3 linked regions of the Sus scrofa genome follow. The protein of the gene in region 2 purifies or fractionates together with the protein of the main gene of each other region. This does not show direct contact. Links are inferred from orthologs where the notes say so. Each region holds a gene or a part of one and is shown on either strand. Other genes may lie near its edges.

Evidence for each region.
Region 1: the proteins of KLC2 (region 2) and KIF5A purify together in Homo sapiens (affinity purification with western blotting; 3 studies listed by BioGRID and IntAct, with this or other methods). This does not show direct contact. The link is inferred for Sus scrofa from reciprocal best matches to the Homo sapiens genes KLC2 and KIF5A.
Region 3: the proteins of KLC2 (region 2) and KIF5C purify together in Homo sapiens (affinity purification with western blotting; 3 studies listed by BioGRID and IntAct, with this or other methods). This does not show direct contact. The link is inferred for Sus scrofa from reciprocal best matches to the Homo sapiens genes KLC2 and KIF5C.

The regions. Positions count from the first base shown.
Region 1 is NC_010447.5:22,815,660-22,819,402, forward strand, and holds the start of KIF5A (kinesin heavy chain), read left to right. Parts: upstream 1-1,201; 5' UTR 1,202-1,477; coding exon 1,478-1,606; intron 1,607-3,743. UniProt on the Homo sapiens protein: Microtubule-dependent motor required for slow axonal transport of neurofilament proteins (NFH, NFM and NFL). Can induce formation of neurite-like membrane protrusions in non-neuronal cells in a ZFYVE27-dependent manner.
Region 2 is NC_010444.4:6,116,955-6,120,597, reverse strand, and holds the end of KLC2 (kinesin light chain 2), read left to right. Parts: coding exon 1-41; intron 42-626; coding exon 627-676; intron 677-778; coding exon 779-846; intron 847-1,274; coding exon 1,275-1,383; intron 1,384-1,474; coding exon 1,475-1,633; intron 1,634-1,707; coding exon 1,708-1,832; intron 1,833-2,024; coding exon 2,025-2,082; intron 2,083-2,414; coding exon 2,415-2,498; 3' UTR 2,499-3,362; downstream 3,363-3,643. UniProt on the Homo sapiens protein: Kinesin is a microtubule-associated force-producing protein that plays a role in organelle transport. The light chain functions in coupling of cargo to the heavy chain or in the modulation of its ATPase activity.
Region 3 is NC_010457.5:3,359,237-3,362,979, reverse strand, and holds the start of KIF5C (kinesin heavy chain), read left to right. Parts: upstream 1-1,509; 5' UTR 1,510-1,954; coding exon 1,955-2,080; intron 2,081-3,743. UniProt on the Homo sapiens protein: Microtubule-associated force-producing protein that may play a role in organelle transport. Has ATPase activity. Involved in synaptic transmission. Mediates dendritic trafficking of mRNAs.

The sequences.
Region 1 (3,743 bases), on a different chromosome or scaffold from region 2:
CTGAGTGATTAGGTCTTATCTGGCCAGGCCATCATTCTCTCATCCTTTCCTCATGGTGTCTAAGTGACCTTAAAAACTTACCAGACAATTGCTAGGCAGAACCTCCATCCCCTCCTCCCTTCTCCCATCACCCTGCTCCTCCCCTTGGCCTAGAGCCTCAATTCCTGCAGTCTAACTCTGTTGGCCAGCAGAGGCCCTGTGACGTGGAGAAAAATCAATCCAGCCAGCTTCTAGGTGGTTCTGCCCAGGGTCTGCAGCACGAGTCTGATCCAAAGGGAGGAAGGACAAGAAAGGCTTGGCATTTTTTTTTTTTTTTTTTTTTTGGCCAGGGAAAGAGAAGAAACAGAGGGAAAAAAAAAAAAAAGCCTGAAAAGGGGCTTGGGGTGTTGGGACTCTGTCCAACAGTTCTGGGACAGGAAACACACTCACGTAGGTGCCTAAACCTGCCTGAAGCCCAAATGCAGATGTCTGCCCTAGAAATCCTTTCTCAAAGCCCCTCTGGCCTTACCCACTCCTAAAGTCCTCCTCCATCACTGCTTTGTTCCTCACTTCTTGCAAAAGTTACTCTTGGCCCACCTCCTTCTCAGCCCCAACCTAGGAAGAAAAAATGAGAGTCTTATCTGCTTTTGAATTCTGATAACAGAATGGGAGTTTGTCTTCCTTCCAATTGGGGTCCTGGTGTGTATGTTGGGGAGAGAGTAGAGTGCATCTTTGCACGCAGAAGGGGAAAGGGGAGAACTCCCCTGACACCCTGAAAAATGGGACTTGAACACGCACTTCCTTCCATAGGGGTACAGGCAGCTGCCCTTGAAGGTTCAGTGGGTTGGGAATCTTTGCGAGGGTTTTTGTGCTCCCAGTTTGGAGCGAGGACTGTGATGAGGGTGAAGGATGCCTTGGAATGAAGGAGATGGAAGCACAGTTGACTCTTCCTGGGACAGAAGACAGGCCCACCTCAGACTCCTTAGCCCTTCCAGGGGGTGGAGGCCGGGGTGAGGGACAGACGGGTCAGGCATGTGGGGGGTGGAAGGCAGAGAGTGACTTGGGTGGGGAAGGGGTGAGGACAGGGTAATCGAGCAAGCGTTAGGGGTGGGGCGAGGAGGCGCGATGACAGCGCAGGTGCCTCGCTTGGGTGGTGGGCGCCGCGGAGCAGCACCCCCCAGCGAAGGAAGCCCCGCCCCGCTCCTCCATCGCCGCCCCGCCCAGGCCCGCAGCGCAGCGCTGCAGCGCGAGGGACCGAGAGGCAGAGCGCCCAGAGAGGACCAGACCTCCAGGTCGCCCGCATCCCCCGTGCAGCAGGAGAGAGGAAGCGTGGCCCAGCCCTGCTCCTTAGCGTTAGCCTGGTCACCCGCCACAGCTCCCTGAGCCTCAGAGACCGAGCACCTGTCCTCCGCCTCGGCCTCAGCTGAGCCCCTCTCCGCCGGAGCACTCGCGACCCCTGCAGCCGAAGAAGTGCCCCAGCCTCACGCCGGCGACCACCATGGCGGAGACCAACAACGAATGTAGCATCAAGGTGCTCTGCCGATTTCGGCCCCTGAACCAGGCCGAGATTCTGCGGGGGGACAAGTTCATCCCCATTTTCCAAGGGGACGACAGCGTCGTTATTGGGGTGAGTGCCGCCCCCGGAGGGAATTTCGGAGAGGGGACGGGGAGGCTGAATCTTTTACTCCGCAGAGCCCTAGCTCCTGCCTGTCTCTGCGCCCCCTCTCCGCTGCTCATCCTCCATCCTTTTCGCCGCAGCCCCTCCTCTCCCTGCATCAGGATGGCTGGGTGTGGCCTGGCCAGGCCGGCGGCCGAGTCTCCGCAGAGTGGGAGGGGGCTGCCTTCCCACGATCAATGCACCCAACGCCCCTTTGCTGCTCTCTGCAGCGTCCCCACCCCTAGAGCCAGTCCCGTGTTTTTCTGATGTTTTCCCTCTTCCCTAGGGAAAGAGCATCTTCCCTTTGTTATTGGCTCAGATCTCTACCCTCCAACACCCAGGGAGGGAGGGGAAGACTAGTGGGTGGGCTAGGTGGGGGATGGGCAGTCCAAGGTCTCTGCGGAGGTGTAAATGAAAGTGGACTCCAGGACCCCGGCCTCCATCATCCCTTGAAGTAGTTACAGCCTGGACTTGGGGGGAGGGCAGGGATCTGAGAAAAGGTTTTCGGAGAAAGAAATACATTGATGCCACACCCAGCTTGATGGAGGAGCCTCTGAGTCCTAAGGAAATGTCTGCCTTTCCCTCCCAGGTACAGTAGGAGGAGGATTTCAGACGCGCCGATTCACCCTAACAAATAAAAATAACCAAACCTGTTATCCTAACAAGTAGTTGCTTATTCATCCTATCTCTTGATAATCCAATAAAAAGTGGCAAGCCACCTCCTCTACCTCATCATGACAACCCCTATCCACAGAAGAGACGTTATTAAGAAGGAGCAATAGTGTTTTCTGTGGGCTCATTATGCTGCATATATTGTTTAATCCTTAAAACAACGCTCTGAAGAAGGTATTAATATTTCCATTTTACAGATGAGGCAATTGAGGCCCAAAGAAGTCAACTGACTTTCTCAAGGTCACACTGCTAATTCATGGATATGAACCTAAATCTGTAATTCCAAAGCTTATGTCTCTCCTTCTGTATATCACATTGCCTCCACAGATTTCCATTCTGGACTTTTATCTGGGATGACTCCAAAGGAATTCCTAGGGAGTTCCTCACCTTCCCCTCCTCTCCTAAGTTGGTAGGGACTGTCAGGCTATGGGATGAAAGGGTCTGGGGTCAAGTCTAGTAGGGCTTGAGGGGTGCTGGGCCAGGAAACTGTAGCCAGTTTGAGAAGGGCCCATATAAGGGCCGTCCTCAAGGTCAGGGGCACATCTTATGTATTTTTGATCCACAGTGCTGGGCGCAGGGAATGCTTGTGAAAAGGATGAAGGAAAAAAGGGAAGGGAGTCTGGGCCTTCTGAACCAGTGAGAATGGGACTTCGAGTAAACAGGCTGTAGGAAGAGATTTGCTTACATGTCTTGTCCCCAGGGGCTCTAGTTTGTCACCAGGCTCTCTCACCCACACTGTGAACTCAAATGAGTGCTTTTGCCTTGTGCATGTGCTGTGTATGTGTGTTTTTTTTCACATAGAGAGGGCCCCTGTCTCTCTTTGTCTCAAGGGCCATAGACCTTGCAGTCTGGTCTGTCTAGCCAGGCTAAAAGAATGCCTGGATCAACCCCTGGGGCCTCTTCTCTGAAGAGTCTGGACAGCAGGCATTAGCTGTGAAAGTAAGAGCTTGAGGGCCCCCCATAAAGCTTGAGAAAATAGAAGCAAGGTGGTTATGGAGGAGCAAATCCACAAAAGGCTTCCACTTTTAAGTCTATCTTCCTTGACTTAAATCTGGGTAAATCTGAACCATCTCCTTTAGGCTCTCTGGGCCATCCCTCTCTGGGTGTTGTTGGGAGTTGTGTTGATCTGTCTAATTTGCTCAGTTAAATAGGAGAGACTTGGTGAAAGCAGGAGGGAAGAGAGATGAAGAGAGACCCAGGGCCCCTGCCAACTCAGATCCTATCTTACGCCACAGCTGGTCCTTCTTGATCCGTTTTGCCTGATATTTGCAGGGCTGTACCTTTGTCTCACTCTGTATCTTCCCTTACCCTAGTCCCTCCTGTCAATCTCTCACACCAAGGTAAGTGCTTATGGGGGCCATTTTGTCTCAGGCAGCATCCTGGGAGCTCGTCTGCCCAGCCTTTCTATTCATTTCTCATTCAGGAGGATGAGGGC
Region 2 (3,643 bases):
CCTCACCCGTGCCCACGAGAAGGAGTTTGGCTCTGTCAACGGTGAGCACGGCTGTCCTGGCACAGGCCCCCTCAGCCGTCAGCATCCAGGGCAAACACTGCAGCCGGGCAGGCCTCGCGCCTGGGGTCTGGCTGGTCCAGAGGCACGTGTGGGCACACGGGAGCACACACACCCAACTCCCACAGCCCCCTAGGAAGCTGTACCCGTGCGAGACCCACCCTTCGCCTCCCTGTGCCCCTGGCCCAGAGCCTGGCTTCCCCTTTCTCCACTGGGCACCTCACGCTCACCGTGAGGGCCCAGCCCAAATGTCTCCCACTCCAGGAATCCACCTTCTAGCCCCTGATGGTCAGTCACTTCCTACTCCAGGACCCCTCAGCCCGGCCCATCGTTCAGGCACTGTCCCCGGCTGTCGCAGGCACTGTCCTGGGCTGTCGCAGGCCCCTGAGGCACAGGCCTGCGGGTTCCGGAGGAGGCTCAGTAACGGTTCGGGCCTGTTTCTTGTCCACTCATTCATTCAACGAAGCCAAACCCTGGTCCTTCTTGGGGACCCCTGACCTCCTCCAGACCCTAGTCCTGTGTCCAGCCCAACCAGGGAGACTGGTGACAGCCCCCCTTTCTCCCCTCAGGGGACAACAAGCCCATCTGGATGCACGCAGAGGAGCGGGAGGAGAGCAAGGTAGCTGTGCGGGGCAGGGCTGGGGCGGGTGTCCGTGGTGGGGGGGAGGCTGGGGGGTGTCGGGGGGGCCCTTCTCTCACCTCCGGCTTACCTTTCCCCCAGGATAAGCGCCGGGACAGCACACCCTATGGGGAATATGGTAGCTGGTACAAGGCCTGCAAAGTAGACAGGTGAGGACCTGGGCAAGAGCAGAGGGCGAGCAGAGGGCAGGAAGCGGCATCCTGGGTGGGGTCTGAGGCCAGGCTCCACCCTCCACCCCTACTCAGCCCCAGAACACACACCTCCTCTGTCAGCTCGCTTTTCAAGGCCCAGCTCACAGGCCACCTGGCCTAAGACGGCTGTGCTGGGACAGTCTGATTCCCTTACTCGTGGGTCTTGCAGCTTTTAGGTCTGGTGGAAGCATCCCACTTAGGGCCCTGAGGCGATTCCCCAAGACAGGGGGCTCCAGGCGGCCCTAGCGCAGGGCCCAACACACAGGAGGGGCCAGGTCTGGGGTGGCGGGATGGTCCTGCGGGGCCCAGTGTGGGCTGGGTGTTAGGATGGACCCTGGTTCCCGGGAAGCGTGGAGTCTGAGATGGTCCTGCTCTCCTGTCCACAGCCCCACGGTCAACACCACCCTGCGCAGCTTGGGGGCGCTGTACCGGCGCCAGGGCAAGCTAGAAGCCGCACACACACTGGAGGACTGTGCCAGCCGCAGCCGCAAGCAGGTGGGGCGACAGGCACGAGGGCTGTGGGCAGGGACCTTGGTGGCCCTATAGGCGTTCCAATCAGTGCCTGACACACCCTGTCCTCCCTCAGGGCCTGGACCCCGCAAGCCAGACTAAAGTGGTGGAACTGCTGAAAGACGGCGGTGGTGGGCGGGGAGACCGCCGTGGCAGCCGAGACGTGGCCGGGGGAGCTGGGGCCCGGTCTGAGGCTGACCTTGAGGAGTCCGGGCCGGCAGCCGAGTGGAGCGGGGTGAGTGTAGGGGCCGGACTGGGCCGAGAGGCTGCGTAGCTGGCGTGGCGCAGACGAACCCGTCCACCCCACAGGACGGCAGTGGCTCCTTGCGGCGCAGCGGCTCCTTCGGGAAGCTCCGAGATGCCCTGAGGCGCAGCAGCGAGATGCTGGTGAAGAAGCTCCAGGGTGGTGGCCCCCAGGAGCCCCCAAACCCCAGGTGAGCCCCCCCACCCATGCGGTGAGCCTCTCCAGAACCCACTCAATAGCCCCAGCTGGCTCCGGACCCAGGGTGAACTCTTCTCTCGCAAGTGCCACCACCCAGCAGATCTGCTCCCTCCCCAGCCCCAAATGACCCCTCCCCGTCCTCCCCCAGCCCCCCCCCCCGCGCCTGACCATCCTTTCCCCTCAGGATGAAGCGGGCCAGTTCCCTCAACTTCCTCAACAAGAGTGTGGAGGAGCCAGTCCAGGTATGGGGGGGTGGCGGCTGCACTGGGCAGCTGAGGCCCAGGCCCCAGGGCCCAAGGCCTGCATATCCTGGGTACCTGCCCAACTTCTCCTGGAGCGCGCCTGCTCATTCAGCAGCACCTCCTGCCCCCATCCTGAGCCTGGCTTTGGGCTGGGGAGACCAGGGAGGGAAACCCAGCTCCTGCCTGCCAGCACCCAGTGCCAACACAGTAACTGTGGAGGTGGGTGGAAGTGTCAGAGCCCCAGGGACGCAGGCTAGTCAGGCCCTTGGGGCCAGGGAAGCACCACCCTGGAGCAGCCTGAGCCTGAGCCCCCCCTGCCCCTCTGCCCACAGCCCGGAGGCACAGGCCTCTCCGATAGCCGCACCCTCAGCTCCAGCTCCATGGACCTTTCCCGACGAAGCTCCCTCGTGGGCTAATCCTGAAGGGGCAGCCGGCCGCCAGAGCCTCCACCCAGCACTGTCCCCACCCCAGCCCTGCGCATGGGCCTGCTGCTTGCCCCTCCTGTCTCTCCCAAGGACCCCTGTCTTTTCTGTTCAATCTCAGGGTAATCTCCCCCCTTGTCATCTCAGCCGGAGCCCTGGAGGCTGGGCCCGCCCCTCCAACTCTTCCCCTTATTTATTCCTTCCAGCAGGGCCCTTCCCCCCGAGGTTCAGGGTCCGCGGGAGGGGCTGGCCGGGGTCTCCCCTGCCCACCCGCAGCCAAGAACACTAAGCACCTGGCCTCCCTTCAGCGTCCCTGTCCTCCCCCGGCCGTTGCTTCTGTATATAGAGAAATAAGTTATTGGCCGCACCACTCCCCTCAGTCCTCGGTACTACCTGGCCTCCCCTCCCCACCCTTCTCTAGTGGTACCGCCCAGGCCTTAATCATCCCCATTCCGCGCGGTGGTATCTCCCAGGCTCCACATCTCAGGGGCGGTGCCTCCGCAAAAGGGTTCCCTGGGCCGTCTCGCGTTCCTCCCTGCCTCCGAAGGGCGCGTCCCGCCCCGCCAACGCCCCTAACCCCAGGGCCGGGAGCCCGCCCCTTGCCCGTCCTCTCAGCGCCGGGCTCTGCCCTGCAGCCCGGCCCTATGCACTGCCCCGTCCCCCGCGCCCGGCCCGCCCAGGCCCGGCCCCGGGCCCCGCCCGCAGAGCCATCCTGCCACGCCTCCTCCCACGCCTGCAGCTTCTTGCGAGGGGCAATGATAGCCCCCTGTGGCAGGAGGGGCTGCCCAGGTTGGGAGGTGAGGCGGTCGCTCTCTATTTTCAAATGTTGCTGTAGAAATAAAGACGGTTTGACTCTGAGCCGGGCTTGTTTTGGAGCGGAGGCCGAGGGGTCCTAGCGTATCTACGTCTCTAGGCTGGGGTTCAGGAGAGGCTGCGAGGGAGTGAGTGTGAGAGCGTGTGTGTCTCGCTGACGTCTCTAGGTTGGGGGTTCAAACGGAGAGGCTGCGAGGAAGGGAGGGGTGTGGGTGTGTTTCGCTCACGTCTGGCTCTGTCCTGAGACCGCGGGCCTTGACTGAGCTTTAGTTTTTATTAAGCTCTTGAACCTTGAGCGAGTTACCGGGACTCGATTTTTTTCATCT
Region 3 (3,743 bases), on a different chromosome or scaffold from region 2:
GGAGGTTCCCAGGCTAGGGGTCTAATTGGAGCTGCAGCTGCTGGCTTACGCCACAGCCACTGCAACACCAGATCCAAGCCGTGTCTGCGACCTACACCACAGCTCACAGCAACACCGGATACTTCACCCACTGAGCGAGGCCAGGGATCGAACCCACAACCTCATGGTTCCTAGTCAGATTTGTTTCCACTGAGCCACGACGGGAACAAGATCAATCTGCCTTCTTTTGATAAGCTCTCTTTTTGCCTCAGTGTCTCCTATTGAATTTTTATCACTCTCCACCACAAGAGCCCTAAAATCCATACCTAATAATAATAGTCATTAATGGGTGACTCCAGGAGAGTAAATCCTTAAAGTATCAGAAGAAAGCAGGGCAAGAGTAAATTTAAATGGAGGAAGCCACCAATATTTTGATGTTTGTCAGAGTGTAAACATCAAGACAAGAAATGGCAAGAGATGAGGCTAATAAGTAGACAGAATTCTGATCATGGGGTCTGGATGTATTTTGCAAAGTACTTTGAACCTGGTCCTATATATATTATGTTCATTCTACAGGATTATAAGGAAGTATTGGGCAGTGGTTCTGTAAACTGCACTATAATTGGTAGTAATTAAGAGGTTCTTGGGAGTTCCCGTCGTGGCGCAGTGGTTAACGAATCCGACTAGGAACCATGAGGTTGCGGGTTCGGTCCCTGCCCTTGCTCAGTGGGTTAATGATCCGGCGTTGCCGTGAGCTGTGGTGTAGGTTGCAGACGCGGCTCGGATCCTGCGTTGCTGTGGCTCTGGCGTAGGCCGGTGGCTACAGCTCCGATTCAACCCCTAGCCTGGGAACCTCCATATGCCGCGGGAGCGGCCCAAGAAAGAGCAACAACAACAAGACAAAAAGACAAAAGACAAAAAAAAAAAAAAAAAAAAGAGGTTCTTAACCTGAGTTACAGGCAGCTGTCAGTTATCCCCAAACCCTGTGAAAAAGCATGAAAAATCTGTAAGTGTGTATAGGTTTGTCTTTTTTTTATAATGTAAAACGTTCATCAGATAGTAAATGAGCACCTGGTCCAAAATATGTATGAACTGTTATCTATGTGCAGGCATTTTCAGAAATTACTGGCTTCAAATATTCATGGAAATCTCATTTCCCCCCGATTTCTTCACAACCTTTAAAAACTGTTGAGCACAGAGAAAAAGCTCCATACTGTTTGTTTGGACACTGTCTTAAGAGGGCGTTCTCCTTTGGGATCATGAAAAGATGTAGAGATGATATAGACCTGGTAATTTATAGAGATTTAAACCAGGAATATTGGCTGTGACATCCACCCTGTTCTTGACTTGGGCTGCCAGTCAAGACCTGCAAGCTCTCGGAAGTGGCACCTGGGACACCACTGCTGCTTAAACGCCAAATCCGGAAATCTTAGTCCTTCCACCTGCCTGTGTAACGACTACAAGTCCCAGGATACCCCTCTCTCAGGAGCCGGGGCGAGGGTCTGGCGGATCTCCGCAGTGACGTCACCGCCCAGGGGCCGCCCGGGGAGGGCGGGGCGAAGGGGCGGGCCGGGGAGGCGACAGAGCGTGCTGGTGCTGATGCAGGATGGCTGAGCTCGCAGGAGCCCGGGAGGTCTGAGCCGGGAGAGGCTCGCTCCCAGCGCATCGCCTGGTCCGCCCGCCGCGTGGTCGCGGGCAGGTGGGCCTGGGTTTGCAGCGCAGGGCCAGGGCAGCGCCAGGAAAGGCAGATCTGCAGCTGGCCGGGCCGAAGGTTGAGAGGTTGCTCACCTACGAGGTCTCGGAGCGGCCACAGCTGCCCAGCCCGCCGCGTTCGCGATGACCTGCTGAGAAGCTTTGTCGGAGGCTGCAGGAGGCGGCCTTGTTGCGGGAGGTGCGGTTCTCGACCGCGTCCCTCGTTGTGCGGAACCCCGGCCCCCCCACCCATCCCCGCGCTCCCTCCCTGCCGCGGGCCGAGATGGCGGATCCAGCCGAATGCAGCATCAAAGTGATGTGCCGGTTCCGGCCACTTAACGAAGCAGAGATCCTTCGCGGGGACAAATTCATCCCCAAATTTAAAGGCGATGAGACCGTGGTGATCGGGGTAAGTGGTCGGGATGTCTGGCCTCCTCTGCTGCTTCACGCCGCAGCTCAGCGCCCCGACACCCCAGACCAGGCAGAGATGCTCAGGCCGCCCCTTCGGACATCCCTGCTGCCCTCTAGGGTGGACTTGACGAGAGACCTCCCCACCCAATCCCACCCTGTAGTTTCCTCCTCGCTGGGTGGAGGGTCAACTGGGGGCTGCAGGGCGGGCCCCAGGCAGCGGAGGTGGGGGTGGGGGGCGAGGAAGGGTTCCGCGCCGCCATTGTTATTGGGGTGGGGGCCCGGGTGGGCCTATTGTTTCCCGCCCTGGCCACGCCGCGTGGGTAGTGTATTCAGGTTACCCTCCAGCCCAGGTTCCCCTTCAAGTATGAGCTGTGTAAACCACAAATGATTCCAGGCATCGGTTCGATTTTTCGAACACTTTGCCTCTTCTCAAGATCTTAGTAAAAGAGGGAAAAAAGGTACTGGAAAAATCCTATCCTAGGCTTGGAGCTCGCACCCTGTGTAGACTCGGACCCCGCGGTGTTTCACCTTGCTCTGCACGCGGAAGGCCGGGGGTAGGGGAACACTGGTGGCTTTCGTGTCCCCGGGGGGCCTCGTGTGTCTCCTCCTGCTCCCTCTCAACCCAGGCTTCCCTTACTTGGACCTTGGGTCTGACTCTTCCCCAATGGGGCAGCCCCCAGCTGGGGTCCGAACACCCTTGGGTACACTTCGCGCTGTTTGGCGTGGGGTTGGGGGTCCTGAACGTAGCTAAATCGCCTCTGTTCCCAAAGAATAAGTTACTTTGTGTGGATAGGGCCCCCTCCCTCTCGATCTCCCTTCCCATATTTCCCTTCCCCCTCCTCCCCTCACCTCCCCAGACTTGGCTTCCTTTCTGCAGCCGGACTGCTGGTGGGGGGATGGAATACCATTGATTTTTAGTTCTTAAAGGAGTATGTCAAATGAAATAAGCCAGCCTCCCCTCTCCTCCCCCGCCCTTCCCCCTCCGCTGTCCCCAGTGTGTGTAGCTGATGTGCCCTCTTTGTATGCGAGTCGCGTGGGGAGGTACCGAGTTAATGGGAGCCTCCCGATCCCCGCTGACATGTTCCTGGCAGCCTGCTCTAGGCTGCTGATGCAGCCTTCCCGGCCTCAGCATTGATTAAGTGATGTCATCCCGATTACTGAGCATGCTCCGACTAACCCCCTCCCTTGCCTTTCCCCCAGTGGCTGGTGTATTTAGGTCAAATGATTGACAGGTGACAATTTACCTAGGGTCTCTGCTCGAGTAAGCCAGGCCCTTCTCAAGACCAGAGGCCAACTTTTGCTGGCCGTAGCAGCCCCAGTATCTCCGCCAAGGCTGTGCCGCAGTCCCTGTGAAGGGCCCTGGGGACTAGCAGGTGCCAGCAGAACCGGCAGGCAGGCGCTCTCCAGGAGAAGAGAACCAAAGCAAGGCTCGGGCCTTAGGGTTTCATTTTGTACCTTCCTTAGGAAGGCAGCGCCCCTTGGCGACCTCTTCTCTCCTCCCTGTTTTCAGAGTCATCAGGAAACCGGTGACCTCCAAATGCTCTGGATGGTCATTCACCCCGAGAACTGACCAGTGAGGTCAGGAAAGTGGGATTTTCTCTCTGCTTAGTGTTAAACTGAGAGAAACATGGAGGCTACAATTATTGATAAGGACAAAAATT